Styela clava: one gene and its partner. Each later gene encodes a partner of the first gene's protein in a complex. Links are inferred from orthologs where the notes say so. Each region holds a gene or a part of one and is shown in the gene's direction. Other genes may lie near its edges.

Region 1 (8,021 bases):
AAATTATAGAAAATCCTATTCAGAATTGTTATGTTTTAACAGGTTTATTGCGTCAATAGTCATGGAAAACAAGGAATTTACATGATCAATAGCACCAATGAAATGGAATGCCTTCTGTGTTGCCGCGGATGGTTCCACGAGTATAGATACTGGCATAAAATGGGGTGTACTTCTTGTTCGTCATCAGGAATAACCGAGGAGCCAAACATTGATTCAGGTTGCCAACCAGTACGAAAAGCTCCCCAGTAAGTTCGACTAAATGATTGTTATCGAATAAATTTTTTATTGCTGTGAACTAAAACGGGACCGAGAGATAAAATTTTCTATTTCGATATTAAACTCTGTGCCATCCAATAAACAACTACCGACTCCAGATTGAAAAAAAAGAAACTTTATTAACAAAAGCTTGTGCTGTGTTAACTCAATAGTCAATACTATGTGCTGTTTGCCTGTTTCTTTCCGAATTTTTGACTTGGATTATCATCATGAAAAATCCAAACAATGTCAATTTCAGGATTTACCAATTTTCATTTCATAGGAATGTTGCTGAAGGTGGCGGCTCACAACCTCCTGCTATATTGAATCCACCAGGAGATGAACCTGATGACATAAAGACCCCTGCAACACAAGACAACATGACTGCCCCAGTGACAACAGCACAGCCAATTATTGGTAAGTATTGTTATGATTAGCTAATTCTTGAATGTCACCAATTTGGTTCTACTCAAGTAATAAACAGCACATACTTATAAAAAATATAACCAATTATCTTATTAAAATAAACATGGATCTTGGAGAGAAAAGTAGATTTATCCCTCTTTAAAAAAATCTTACAGAATAAGAATGACCCAGGGCAGGCTATGTCATCTTATCATGACTGCATATAACTTTTAATTGTGCCTGGCTTCCATGATTTGAATAACAAATGGAACAATTTTTCATTAAATTTAAGAATAGCGATGTATATATGGACTTAATTTCTGAGTGGAGTGGCCTCTCATTTGTACAGACTTTCTGATTACTTAATCCCGACATTTTAAAATGCAAATTACCAAAATGTGTGATCACTGATATGAATAGATACCATATATTGTTTCTGTTTTCTCGTTGATATATTTCAATGTTTATTCACTGTTCATTCATATAATTGTCGAGCTCCATATAAGTTGTTGATATTATTTCCTATGACATTATTATATTCTTGTATTACTTCCTGAATTTGTGAATAAATCTTGCAGGCAGTTCACTTGGCTAGGGGGTAACTTTCATATTCACCCGCCTTGGTAAGAGGGTGAAAGGATGTACACTACTGTATGATCAATGCTGTATGTGTTGCTATTCAGTTACAAATATATTTCGGTGCTCCCGAAGTATGCGAACCAAGATGGCGGACATCGGAACGTAACATGGGTAACAGGTTAGGGTTAGGCGATAATTTTTATCCAATTTTTCTTATTTTAGTCCTATTATCAGTTCGAAGACTAGCCAAGAGCCTCTCGTAGTATTTATACCTAAAATTATGGCCTAACCCTAACCTAGTACACATATTACATTCCGATGTCCGCCATCTTGGTTCGCATACTTCGGGAGCCCCTATATTTCATTATGGCAATATGAAAAAACTCGGTCAGCCACCGACATCTATACATTACACACTTGTTATTGTACTCATCGTATTCGTTTCAGAAAATCTGACACCACCGTATGCTATCGAAAATCTGATCTGTGAAAATTTATATTCTAAATTTCCTTCCCGGAAATCATCTGTCCTTGTGACATGGAACGGTTCTGAAAATGCTGAGCATTATGAGGTATATAACATATAATAGTGGTACGAGTGTCTTGTCGACCTAGATTTTTTCTGCATTGCTTATTCACACATTACGCTCCGAGCAAAGCCACACAGAAGTAATCACCGATATCTTCTAACGTTTTCCAGCTGGGTAGGAATTCTATTGGGTTGGAATTTTCATTTGTGTTCGTTGTAGTATTACTAATATTCTATATTTTTGTTCAAAAACGGGCGACTTTCGCATAACATTAGCTAAGGATACAATAATAAAGTTTAAGAAATGAGTCTATATGCGTACTGAGGAAGGAATAAAGTTACTAAAACGAAGAAGGAAGGAATTCAACGAAAAAGTTTGGGAAATACTGCTCTAAGGCTTTAACTGCTAGGCCATTGCACACATAAATATTATTATATTATAATATCTGTATGAAATTCATTTAATTTTCAAACTTTCAGGTGATATTAACATCTAAGGGCAGCTCGCAATTTTATGAAGTTAAACCACCTGCTTTGGACGTTAAAGATTTAGAACCAGATACCAAGTATAAAATTGTAGTGATAGCTGCAAACAAGTCGGGTAAGAATCTATATATATATATTTTCTGTATACACTGATGCATTTATTTTTAATATGAAATTGTAAGTAGAACTCTGTCATTAAATTCATTAATAAGGAAATTTTTATTAAAGGGAAGAGCACATCAACTTCGATTGATCACCATACTTGGAAGTTGCCTCCACGGTACCCTCTCACAAATGTTCATTTCACAGTTACTGGATCGATTATACATGGATCTTGGAATATTCCTGAAGGCAGAGCTGAAGAGGAACCATTGTTAGGTTATAAGGTATTTTCTGCTTTTTTATGTGAAGTTTATTTTTTCATTTCAAATCTACTAATTCTCTTATCTTGAGTAATAATGTTACACAGGTGCTACTGAAAGATTTGGATTCAAAAAAGAAGCTATCATTCCTATTTGAGGAGAGTGAATGCACTATCCAAGTTGAGGAAAACAGAACATTCTATGCGACTGTTCTTCCTTATAACAGGGCTGGTAACGGACTACCATACGCATCCTCGTATGTTCAAACTTATGCCAACTCAGGTATGTTATTCTAATGCAAATTTGTGTTTATAATATATTTGTATCTTAAGAATGCTGTCTTTTAGAAAGCTACATTTTACTCTACTCAGTTCTTAGCATATTAGGTTTGGTCGGGAGTTACTGCTCTTATTTAATCAAGACTAAGAGATACTTCAAATTACATGATTTGTTTCAATGAGTTGAGATTACTGATATTTTGTATTTTCAGGATCTGCCACTAGCAAACTTTTCTCACTGGGAGCACCTATATATTGTTATATCCTCGCCAGGATTGTGAACTTTTTACTATGCAACTAGATGAATTTTTTTGATCAAATATTTTATAGTTTTTGATAAGCTTTGAATAGTGCCAGATGATCAAAAGTATGTGGTAGTGAAATATAAATCCGTTTCACCCTTCGTTTCCAAATCGATTTGATTTTTTACTTAGTGGTAAAAAGAGCATATAAGAATATTTTAAGTATTTTTCAATTTTGTCAAATTCCTATATGTTATAACGTCCTTCAATGGCCTTTTGCTGTACAATTATGTTTTGCACTTTTCTTCAGTTTAAATTTGGAATTTAATTTCTTTATGATCTTCAATGTGATTTGTAATTTTTCGAATTTAATTTGTTTGTGAGTGGGATTTATTGATTAAGCTTCCCTGAACCATTGTGCCTTATGATACTGGAAGCCACTTGAAAGCATTATTTGTGTTGTGGCTATTTTGTTGGTGTACCTGTCTCTAATGTTGTATTTGTGACAATCACACTTACAAATCTGTGAATTCTTCATTTTTCTCTTCGCCATTTTTTTTTCACCACACTTATACTTTTGGGAGTTATTTGAGATCTGCTGGTTTTAGTACTGCGTGTTTTTCAACTTGCACAGAAGCATTTTGATTTTTAGATACAATCGTTGCTTATGTTACCTGTACTTGTAATTGTTTATATATCATGTATGCTTTTAGGGGCTATTTTTTCCAATGTGCAACATAGGTCGTTCTGTGATGATTTTTGCAATATATATATATTTCTAGAAAATCAATAAGATTTTTTTAGTGCCATAGCCCGTATTCAATGTTCCTGTGTCATTGTGTATTTAGTTGAAATGCAACAATTTTACATGCCATATCATAACTGATTCATTGTGTTTGTTCTTCATACTTTTTCTTAGGCAATTTGTTTATTATAATTTCACATGGCATCGATAGCAAAAAAACTGAATGCGAGATTTGAAAACATTGCCAGGGTAATTGCTTGTTTTCTTATGATTTATATTTTCTGTTTATTTTATTGTATTTTCAGAATAGGATGTTAGTTTCCCTTGCCACACTAACAGTATTTATCTTTTACCGATGGTGTTGATATTGCTGTTCATGATATTGAATAACATTGCACAATTTGAATGCTGTGTATGATTGTTTCTAAGTTTCTGTTCCTGCCTGATGCGCTTACTACTAACACATTGCTTCCAGTAACTTTACATATCTTGTATCTTATGTATTTTAACATGTTTTATTGATAAAACCTTCTCATTCATTTGTAATAATAAATCCGAAGGTATAATCTTACAAATGCCTCATTACTAGTAACAGCTTACCATTTAACACTTGTAATATGGGATGATGAGTAAGTTTGAGTTTAGAAGAAGACTACAAATGGCATGCCGATTTTGTGCACGGGAAGTAATGTTTCAAGAATAAATTGTAAGAAAATTTTAAGAGCTTTTTCGATTTCCTGATACCACAAAATTACCCGACAATACAAATAAAACAAACTAAAAAGTATACTGGAAGAAGAAAAAGTGGCGAGCCACACCACCGCAGTCTCGGTATGCGTCAAAATTGATTGGCTGTCTCCCCGTACCCATCAAACAGTTTTTTGAATATATTGAAAAAAATGTTATCACTATGATTTTCATAATCGTAGAAAAATCTTGCGCGAAGTGAAGGAAAAAATGTTTATGGGGTCAAGGGTCGCGTAAACATACATTACTGTCGGGTCTCATTTTTTTGTTTGTTTTATTCAAATATTATAAGAAATATTGGTTGCAATAAAATGTATGAGTTACAATAAAAAAAAAAAAATTAATAAAAAATGTTTAAACGTAATTCAGAATTTCTGATCTGTCGCAAATAATTCGGCATTCTATCGCTAACGCAACTTGGGTGAAAGGTTGTGTAACCGCTATAATTACGTCTGTATGCGCTCAATTATTATCTTAATATTGCTTGTATCTGTCGATTGTGGAGTTCGTTGAAGATTATGGTGAGAACATGCAGACGGATGATGCGAGATATTTGAAACGGTAAGTCAGAATAAGTGAGCTTTTAAAGGTAGGATGGTATTTAAATATGTATCTCAGTATCTCGCCCAGTTACCAGACCATGGGCGCTTCCGGTCAGCGGGTACGGTATGGGATTGTAGATATGTAGTCAGGAATTCATGATTTTGCATGAATGGATGTAAGCTGTTGTCTGGAGGTGGAACATTTACTGGTAAAATTACTAATTTAACGTAGAGTTTATTCTGCCCTGCTGGCTCTGAGCAAGAACTGGAAATGAAAGTTTGTTTTTATATTTAAAACAGAAAAGTGCATTCTGCAGCTCAGACATTTGCAAATCCAAAAAAATGGTTATTGAATGAATATTTAAATCATGAGCGCACATCTTAAATGAAGACATGTGCCAAAGTTTTTAAAATCATGTTTAACCTACTCAACCATTTGCTATTATTAGTTCAGAATTCCATATACTTAAATACAGAAATACACAAATTATTTTCACCAAATCAAGAAATCATTGGCATGCCATGTTCGAGTTTATGACATTAGGCACGTTTTTCCTGTGTTGTGAACTTCTGATTTAAATCATATACAGTGCATAAAGCCTGCTGTTTGGTGTAGAATAATTGTATCTGGTCAATTTTCATACTGATAATTCAAGTACGATTCAACGCCAATGTGCCAACCTAGCGGTGGCACTGACACTCACCCTGTTTCTGTATTCGGGATGGGACTCAGTGATTATTTTGATCGTTCATTCCGATGATTCTTTCAGCGATTATTACGGAATCTCATTATCCATAAGGCGATTTGACCCTAGAAAAGTTACGAATTACAGAAAACGCTTTTGTCATGCTCATCATTAAAATGTACTGTCCCCTGAGAAATTTACATATTTTTACACTCTAAAGTGCCTTTTGTGAATTGGGTATTTATTTTACAGCAAGGTCAAAGGAGGGGCAATTGACGTTCACCCAACTGAACAAGCACTTGTTGTGAATTATGAAGTGGAAGCAACAATATTAGGAGAACTTGGTGATCCTATGCTCGGTGAAAGAAAGCAATTTCAAAAAATGTATTTAATTTTCATTATTAAAGAATTTTATTTTCTATATTTTTTCATAGTTTTCCAAACACTTTGACAGGCCTAAATTCTACCTTTATATATGCAGAACTCGGGCATTACCAGGATCCAAAAAAAATATGTTCAATATTAACATACCATATTTATTATACTAAGAATAAACAATCATTTACGACAATATAATGCTTATAGTATATCTGGAATTTGAATGCATGTTTATATGCCTGTGTTTTTTTTTTTAAAGCTGAGAATTAGTTAAATCAGTAAGTGAAAAACATACGGTTCGAATCCCATATTCACCACCAGGGTGTAATATATTGAGTAGAAAATATTAAACCGGAAAGTAGCTCCTTAGATATCATATAAAGGAACGTGACAATAAAGGACCGGTAATTCAATTGTCTTTACATACTGATATAATTACCATTCTTGTTGTTAGTTTAGCATTAGATAAGTTTTTAGCATCAATTGCAGCAGTTAAGCCCTGTTTTTATACGAGAACCATATAGCAACCTTATAAGGCATGATTTATCAATAGTTTACGGAGATAGCTAATTAGCTCTGTCTAGATCTGTCACAAATACAATATGTATTGTTCTGTATTTGTATGAGTATATCAGTGAAATGTGACTAGGAAAATTAACAGACGGAAATTTATTTGCCAATTTTTACTGCAAAACAGTTTAATATGTTTTCTTGTGCGTAGAAACTGCTTTTTGGTCTTTCAAATGAATCAAAAATTATCTTTTTGCAGTTACTACAATTTGTTTTAAAGTGAAGTTTGTTGATTCAGTTTTTTGGAAAGTTAGCATTACCAAGTTGGATCGTGTTTCTAAGTAGTTCAGAAGAGTTTTAAAATCATGTAAGCATTCTATCATTATAAGTAAAACAGCTCTTAGTGTGTCATTATTGTATTACAGACACAGTGTTGTCAAGTAATGTAGAATAAGAAGATGATTACTGAGAAACTGTCAACAATTTTCTGCTCATTGTTAGCTATCGATTCCAATTAGAATTATCAGAAAAATAAAATAGTTATCATTTTGAAAGAAACAGAATAGCATATTTTGATATTTTCATCCTAGCTTTTTTCAGTAATTTCAGTTCAGATTGGTATGGTTAGCTCATAAATAGCATCTTGATCGAGTACTAGTTGAGTGTATACCTATCTATTCCAGGGACTCGTCATTTGCTTCCACGTATATTGAAGTTCATCCAGTTTTAGATGCTTTAATTGTTCACTACAGTTTTGATTGTTTGTTAGGAGAAGATGAAGAATTGGAATTGGAACATTATTTAACTAAGCAGGGAACAAAGCTGTGAGATTGTTATATTAGCTAGTTAGTAAAGTCCAGTTACTGGGTGGAGGTTCAAAGGTCAAATGTTTTGATATTTTTAAAACAAGTAGGAAGTAATAGCTGAAGATTAGGAACTAAATTATTTTTCCACTAGATTTCAAATAATTCTGCTCTTAATACAAATTACTTCTAACCATAGCTGTAAAAACCAGTAAAATATGATTCTAGAGTAAGAGTGATGCCTGTCATATTTTGACTGAACAATATTGCTACAATCGTTATAATAGTATAATATTAAAGAGGATGCCTGAATTTAAACCACTACTCAATAATTCTATAAAGAAGGTCATGATATCCGTATTTTAAAAAATTTACTAGCTGTAGGAGATTAGCTCTCACGTATGAATGATTGAAAGGGTCGACCCTTAATCAACCTAATTTTCTTGTAGAATTCGATTGCGGAGTTTGAACTCT
Region 2 (7,333 bases), on another chromosome or scaffold:
TAATTACATCTGTAGTTTGCAACTGTAGTTGGTATTCGTTCATTTTATTCCCTTCATAGTGAGTCTGACTCCATAGGACTTTAGTTTGAGCAAACATTCATGAATAATTCGTGTTGTACTTCGAGTGTTGTCTTTGGTGGCAAATTAATAATATTGTTCATGCACTACTGTGAATTTTACCCAAATGTGTCCTAATTTTTATCCCATAGGTTTTGTATATTTTTTTGACGAGCTGGTAAATATTGTTTTTCATACTAGATCACCTGGTGGAACTCCATTTAACAAGAAAAAAGATGATTTAGAAGTGGTAGCTGGGGATCCAGCTTCATTGATTGCTGCAGCATTGAAGAAAAAATTTGCGCACAGAAAAAATTTTGATTCACCCAAGTCAGATGAAGTTGATGACTCATTTGAAACAAATAATTTAACACCAGTCAAAGGTTTTCCAAGTCCTAATCAAACTCCAAAAGTAAGTTCATCAGATTAATGATTTAGGCTTATTTAATGTAGTAAATTTCCATAACAATTCATAAAATATGGTTCTTTGTATATTAATACGATAGCCCAGGATTTCATCATGCTTGGTAAACATTACCCCGACAGTCAATGACGATGAACATGGGTTAGATTGTTAAATACGTTTTTCAGTTTGGTCAGCACCTTTTAAAAAGACGCAACACTTCACCAGCACCCACAACTACGCCTAAACCAGAGCTTCCAACTTTTTTAAAGAAAAGAAGAGATTTGGAAAATGTTAACCCACAATCTTGATCAGAATTTTATTATAGTTGTTCATGAATAACCGAGTTTATTTGCATGAATTGCTTTCGAATTTTTTCTGTTTTATTCTGCGTGCTATTGTACTTTTTATCTAAGTTCATTTATTGTATAATTCATCTGAACGATTTAAAATGGGAATATACCAGACATATATTTCTGATTTCATGTTTGCCTAATCGGCTTTTTTCATGTACCTTTTTACTACGAACTACATGAGATAATTTTGGTGCTAATGGTTTATCATTTTTGTTGTCAGTGCTACACCCATGACACATGCTATTTGGTCTTTTATAACCATTCAAAATAATCGTACATTTTTGTGTCTGGTCTCAGTACTGCCTGTCATTACTTTCATTTTAGAATTTTATGCGATTTTACAATTTCTTGCCTTGCTATCTTCAGTTACTTTTTATTGGACTGAAATTGAATCTTCAAAACCAGAACCGGATTTAGTACAGTTTACTAACCTTATACTCACTCTTGCAGTGCTGGCAATATTTAAAAAAAATTATCGATAGCTCTCATTTTTTTTATCAATGTTCCTCTTCCATCGCTTTAGTTTTTCTTTATTCTCTCGTACCTCTGCCTTCCCTGGTGCTATTCGTCTGTTGCTTTCATTTTCTCCATGAAAAGGATGAGCCAATTTACCGACACTACTGAAATTGGCATGTGCATCGTATTCAGAATCAATTTACCTATTCCTAATGCTCATAAACCCCCATGTTATGCTATTGGGGCAAATCATTAGGGCAGTAAATGCGGCACAAAATAGAAAAAAAATACTTCAATCCTTGCCCATAGAATGAACCATGTCCAGTTTACAAGTCTGGCCCAGATTCAGGTCTCATTGCCTTGTGTTCCTGCATCAAACATGATGCCTATCAATTGAAACTTTTATGTCTGCTATATAGTTTTGATTTTATTCTGTCTGTGACATTTGAACTGTATACTCCGAACATGCAAATGAAAGTGTTTTGCTACGAGATTAATGTTTGTGTAAGGATGTGTTTTTGGCTTTGATGAAGTATGTGTGCAGCCAGCCCGCTTTTATTGAAATTAAGAAACTGGAAGGGACAAAGGCGCATGTTTCGTTGTAGAATATAAGATATTGGTAACTTTTTTTTAAACCATTTGCTGTTTTAGTTGGAGTTATTTGGATCGCACATGGTCAATTTAGTAGTGGCGCGGCCTTCAGGGACCAGTTCACATATAGCCGACAAAACCATTCAAACGGGACATCGCGGATATAGCCAGGAACCCGGTATCTTGTAAGGATTGGTATAGGGAGAATACAGCGCGCTGGAACGTTCAGGTTTACAAAACATTGTAAAATAGTCAGTGCGACATCCAATGAATTCCAGTATAGTTTTATTCAAATTACAAATTTATCAGGTAACTTCCTTCACTAAGTTTGTTAGAAAACGTCGACATTATCGTTTTTATTATTTATATATTACCTTACGCTGCAAAATGTTGAATTTATTAGCGTGGCGGGCACGAAAAAGTTTGCATAGCGTGTCGTGGAGATGGCCTGTGCATTGAGACATTGTACGATTACGATGAAGTATGCTTTAATTCAGTGGTGTGTAAAGTGCGGCCCGTGAGGGAAAATTGTGCGGCCTGCGGAGAAGTGCCAATTTAGAATGGTGTGCGGCCATCCAAGCTGGTTTTTAATTTAGTTTGAGCTGGTTCCATTTGCGTTACAAAGCTATATTCGAGTCTAACTTATTATCTATGCCTATGACGTTACAACGTCCTAACAACGCGATTGACAAAGCTGCCACTTGCCGAGCAGCGAACAATTGAAAGGAAAATGCGGAGCAGACGCTAATGAATTTGTAAGAACGAGCAATTGAATATTGGGCAACTGGAAAGCAGTTTAAAAAAATTTAATATTGGAAGATACAGAAGCTAAATGAGTTTTGGTTCCAGCCTATCAGTTGATTAACGCAAAATATATGCGTTTTCTGCAAGGACCCCTAATGATGACGACACGAGATCAATAACAAAAAGACACTATTTTGTGCCTGCAACTAATAGAAAGCCTATGTCAAATGAAGGAGCGGCCCGCGCTTTTCCTCAGTAATTGAAATTTGGCCCGCCTGTGAAAAAGGTTGAACAGCACACCCCTGCTTTAATTTGACCTTTCATAGAAAGGTTTGACCTAATGCATAAATTTCATAATTAGGTATTATTAATATTTTTGCGATGCTGAGATCTATTTTATATAACATAAATATATTATATTTCATAGACACAGAAAACTAAATTTGTTTGATCCTAAAATCAGATATTTTATCTGGTAACATTAGTTTCGGCATAACAAATTATGATCAAAACTTGTCGGCCAAAGAATTTGATCCTGGAATACTTCAGTTTTAATATAGCCAGGTTGAGAATCGATATCCGGTGACAAAAACTTAAAAAGAGGGAAAATTTGACCACGTATGAGAATATTGTCCACCCCGCTCGATATTTTTTCGAAATGGGATGAAGTGGATTGCATTTATGCAGGATAACACAGGTTCAACTCTTTTCCCGCTTTTATTTTGATGATATTATAAATGATTTGCCGTTTGCGTTTATTTTTTTCAACAATATTTACAGGTGATACTCTTCTATACTGAAATCTGCTTATCACGAATCACGATGCGTTACCGTACACCGGCGAGTCTAGGTTCGATTTTTTTTACATTGATGTGAAAATAAATATTTCTTTCTCTCTCATGCCGCAATATTTTCGAGAATTTGATCTCCTATTTCGACGACCAAACTGATAATACTGTGTGTTTGATTTGTGCGTTTTCATTTTAAAATAATTTCAAATTAGTTAAGAATAAATTTACAATCGATCTACAGTCTACGCAGGTCTGCGCTGAAACTTTTAATTGAAACCGTTTATGGCTGATCAGAACCGCTCGAAATAACCTGAATTATAGTGAAGGGACGCCATCTGTCGATGCTTTGCTGGAAAGTATACAGGTGCAGGGGATTTAGTACGGTATTACTGTATTGATATCCCGTCAATCAGTGCTACAGTGGGGGAATATAGAAGAGTATCAACACATGTAAAGGCTTGTTTATCGATGTATATGTTTGTTTACGTTAACGTACATAATTTATGTCAATATTTAGGGAAGAGTGCAGTAATGCAAATCCTTGTGCTAATGACTAATGATGCTGTAATGTGCAGTGGTACCCCTACCCAGATGTTGATTCTCTCTCCAAGTATGCTAAGTACAAGAGTGCTGGTATGGTTGTTAACTAAATCACCATTTTAATGCACTGAATTCTCAGATGTTCAACATATTTATGCTGACAGATAATAATGTACTGGCATCATGCCTTTGCTCTGAACAAGGCTCTGTATGAACAGCCACAGATTTTTGGGTCTAGTGTAGTTCAGTACCACATGTACTTGTAGCATAATCGCGGCGTAGCATAACTATTTTTGCATAGGGTGGTGTAGCCAGTCTGCGGACGATTTCATTCAAACCGCTACTGATATAAAACAAAAACCAATATTTCTAACCCGATAATTTTTTCACCGTAGGTGCATTGGCATTTATTCTGCGCGCTAAACTTTGAATTAACTTTCTACGATCAGTGGTTAAAGCTATACAAGCCACCAAAGTACGACACTCGGGAGACGAATTTGCGACTGAACGACCGGCGTGCAACCACGGATTTCAAGCATTGAAAATCGATTCTGCTGCATCGAGACTAGATCATACGCAGCCATGCGTGAAAAAATTGGGCTTCTAAATGCATTTCTGACTGTCATATATTTTAAGAACATGGTTATTTCGAACAAAACGCGTCAAATTCTAAACAAAGCACCGCATCACAACAATCAAACAGACAAAAACACGGTGGTCACAAATTGGTCAACGAAGATATTATCGACGTATTGGAAAATGGAAATGCGTCCCCCCCCCCCCCTATTATCCCTCTTTTAAATGTAGAAACGCGAAAGATGGTTAAAAGAAACACAACTCTATTCACCTGCCAAGTTTCATCTTTTTATCTTTTATATTTGTATGGATTTTCAAGCTTTTTTAAAGAGACAATGGGTAGTTGGCGACATGGAAAAATTGTCCGTTTTTTTTCTGACATGCAAAAATTGTTGAGCCAGGCCAACTAGAAGTGCATGTGGTACTAAACTACACAAGGCCCCAGATTTTCTATATAAACCAACAATATAACTTTTTAATTACCACATTTTCAGGCTATATGGTACTGCCATAGTGGATAATCTAAAGTAAAATGTCAAAATCAAAGGGTGCAGAAAGTGTTAAAGTCGTAGTTCGATGTCGTCCTCTTAATCAAAAAGAAATTGCAGCAAATCATGACAGGGTTGTGAACATGGATGTGAAATCTGGACAGATTTTAATAAAAAATCCAAAGGGTAACAGATGATTTTAGAAGATGAATCTTATGTTATTTTTCATATCTATGTATTGGGCTATTTTTATGACCGTATGCACAACTATCCATTGTCCTTTAGTCTTGGTCTTCGGATATGGTATGAAAAAATAATGGTCAGAAAGAAGAAAAAAAACAACAGATGAATTGCCTTTTTACTGGATAGCTATCCCATTGTACATAGTCATCGCACGTACAGTAAATTTGATCCAGCCTATTGGATCTCTGGTTAATTTGTGACTCTTATGTAAATCATTGTTCCACATTTTGGAGTTGCGATTAGACGAATTATGTCACTTCATTTTAATAAAATGAGGAAAGGGTTTTGTAAGTTTGATCACTCAATTCAATACTTGCCCGCTACCTTTTTGCGAAACATGAAAAAATTCTTTCAAAAGCAACAAAATAACAATATAAACGCCCCAGATTTTGATTTCACTAGCTCTACCCGAAGATATCATGTTCAAACCATCTCATTGTGTACTAACTCATGATTGATATACTCAAAATTCATATTAACTGATACAGTCATTGCAATTATAGTTTTCATACATGAACATCAAATACTGTTTGTATGTTTAAAATACATCAAGAATTTTATTTGACCATTTATGCTATTACAGCGACTGGTGAAGCAGAGAGGAGTTTCACATTCGATGCCGTATATGATTGGAATTCAGAGCAAACAGATCTTTTTGAAGAAACTTTTCGAGTTTTGATTGATTCTGTTCTTGGAGGGTTCAATGGCACTATATTTGCCTATGGACAAACTGGGACAGGAAAAACTTACACAATGGAAGGTTCGATTATGCTGTAATTTTTATGGTGAACCATTTTGAATTTTTTCGTTGTATTCTTGTTTTATTGGTTATTTATCTTGTTCATTTTTGGTTAACAGGTGTTCGAAATGATCCTGCGCTTCGTGGAGTCATTCCTCGTTCATTTGATCATATTTTCACTCACATTGCGAGAACTAAAGATCAAGAATATCTTGTCAGAGCATCCTATCTTGAGATTTATCAAGAGGAAATTCGTGATCTTTTAGCGAAAGATCAATCAAAACGACTGGAATTAAAAGAAAGACCAGACACAGGTTTGTTTAAATACAGGGTGTCCTAAAATAAATGAAACCCATTAATTTGATTACCAATTTTGTGAGTTTCATTTATTTTGGGACACCCTGTATATCTTAAATAGTTATCATAATTCTCAGCAAGCAAATTCATCATTAAAAAAATAATGCTATGTTCAGAACTCCAGATCCATATATACTTCTCAACAGTGTAGAACTTATTGATTATCTACTTCGTATGTGTATGTTTTGGCTTCAATGCTTTGCAAATTTGATTTTTATTTTAATTTTTTTAAATATTAAAGCCCGATTTTTAAATTTAAAACAAACTCCGAAAATCAGTCATTAGTGTAATTATTTTCACTGTTCACAAATAATTAGGGGATAGAAACAATATTGCAATTGACTGTTATCTTGAATGGCATTATTTGACTGCTTATGACCACTCCATGCTATGGTTTACAAGCTACTTAGTAAAGTGATAACAATTTCAGTGGAAATACATTTTTTCATGAAGTGTAAGTTACGGTATTATGTTTGTTTTTCAGGCATTTATGTGAAGGATCTTCTGTCATTCGTTACTAAATCAGTAAAAGAAATTGAACATGTTATGAATGTTGGAAATCAAAACAGATCTGTTGGTGCAACTAACATGAATGAACATAGGTATATAAAGTTGATGACTTCTTTTCATTATAATAAATCAAAACAACTTTTCATGACATTCAAAACATATTTAGCTGTATTGACAGTGCAGAATACTGATAATTGTATCTATTTAAGGGATATGTTTTTCAACTACACTTTGCATCGTATAATTACCATAACTCAGAATCTAATGCAATTTATTATTTACTAAAATGCATTATGTTACATTGTATTTGTATTTAAAATAACATGGCGAGAAATTATTTATAACTTGATTAAATTTTATTGATATTGTCAACTAGATAGTATTGCAGTAATGGAAAATTCTTAACTTTGGAATCAAATTCAAGCTGGATTCTTGTGAACATTACAATATATGTTATGATATTTATTTACTGATATTGCTTC

The links.
Region 2: the proteins of kinesin-associated protein 3-like (region 1) and kinesin-like protein KIF3B are in contact, whole or in part, in a crystal structure (PDB 9IKB), measured with the Caenorhabditis elegans proteins. The link is inferred for Styela clava from reciprocal best matches to the Caenorhabditis elegans genes kap-1 and klp-11. Residues at the interface, in NP_001367739.1 of Caenorhabditis elegans: Pro155, Gln156, Thr159, Ser197, Lys198, Phe199, Ser200, Cys201, His203, Thr263, Asn264, Thr267, Ile269, Lys304, Leu307, Lys308, Ile311, Phe312, Met345, Phe348, Asn349, Phe352, Lys378, Asn381, Tyr384, Leu385, Cys388, Asp390, Lys393, Glu416; in NP_001369897.1 of Caenorhabditis elegans: Phe567, Pro569, Lys644, Arg645, Leu646, Val647, Ala648, Thr649, Pro650, Cys652, Arg653, Arg654, Pro655, Met656, Ser657, Met658, Cys659, Glu660, Ile679, Val686, Glu687, Ala688, Thr689, Ile690, Ile695, Arg696, Phe697, Cys698, Gly699, Glu700.

The regions. Positions count from the first base shown.
Region 1 is NC_135254.1:13,151,973-13,159,993, reverse strand, and holds the start of kinesin-associated protein 3-like, read left to right. Parts: upstream 1-5,008; 5' UTR 5,009-5,157; coding exon 5,158-5,189; intron 5,190-5,272; exon of another isoform or gene 5,273-5,379; intron 5,380-6,107; exon of another isoform or gene 6,108-6,108; coding exon 6,109-6,240; intron 6,241-7,003; exon of another isoform or gene 7,004-7,109; coding exon of another isoform or gene 7,110-7,111; intron 7,112-7,427; coding exon of another isoform or gene 7,428-7,568; intron 7,569-7,996; coding exon 7,997-8,021. Other genes in the region: uncharacterized protein LOC120344989, read left to right, coding at 43-245, 539-672, 1,687-1,811, 2,249-2,369, 2,483-2,640, 2,724-2,898, 3,107-3,195.
Region 2 is NC_135257.1:5,000,037-5,007,369, reverse strand, and holds the start of kinesin-like protein KIF3B, read left to right. Parts: upstream 1-4,325; 5' UTR 4,326-5,046; coding exon 5,047-5,188; intron 5,189-5,828; coding exon 5,829-6,005; intron 6,006-6,103; coding exon 6,104-6,298; intron 6,299-6,825; coding exon 6,826-6,943; intron 6,944-7,333. Other genes in the region: mitochondrial fission regulator 2-like, read left to right, coding at 259-469, 649-771.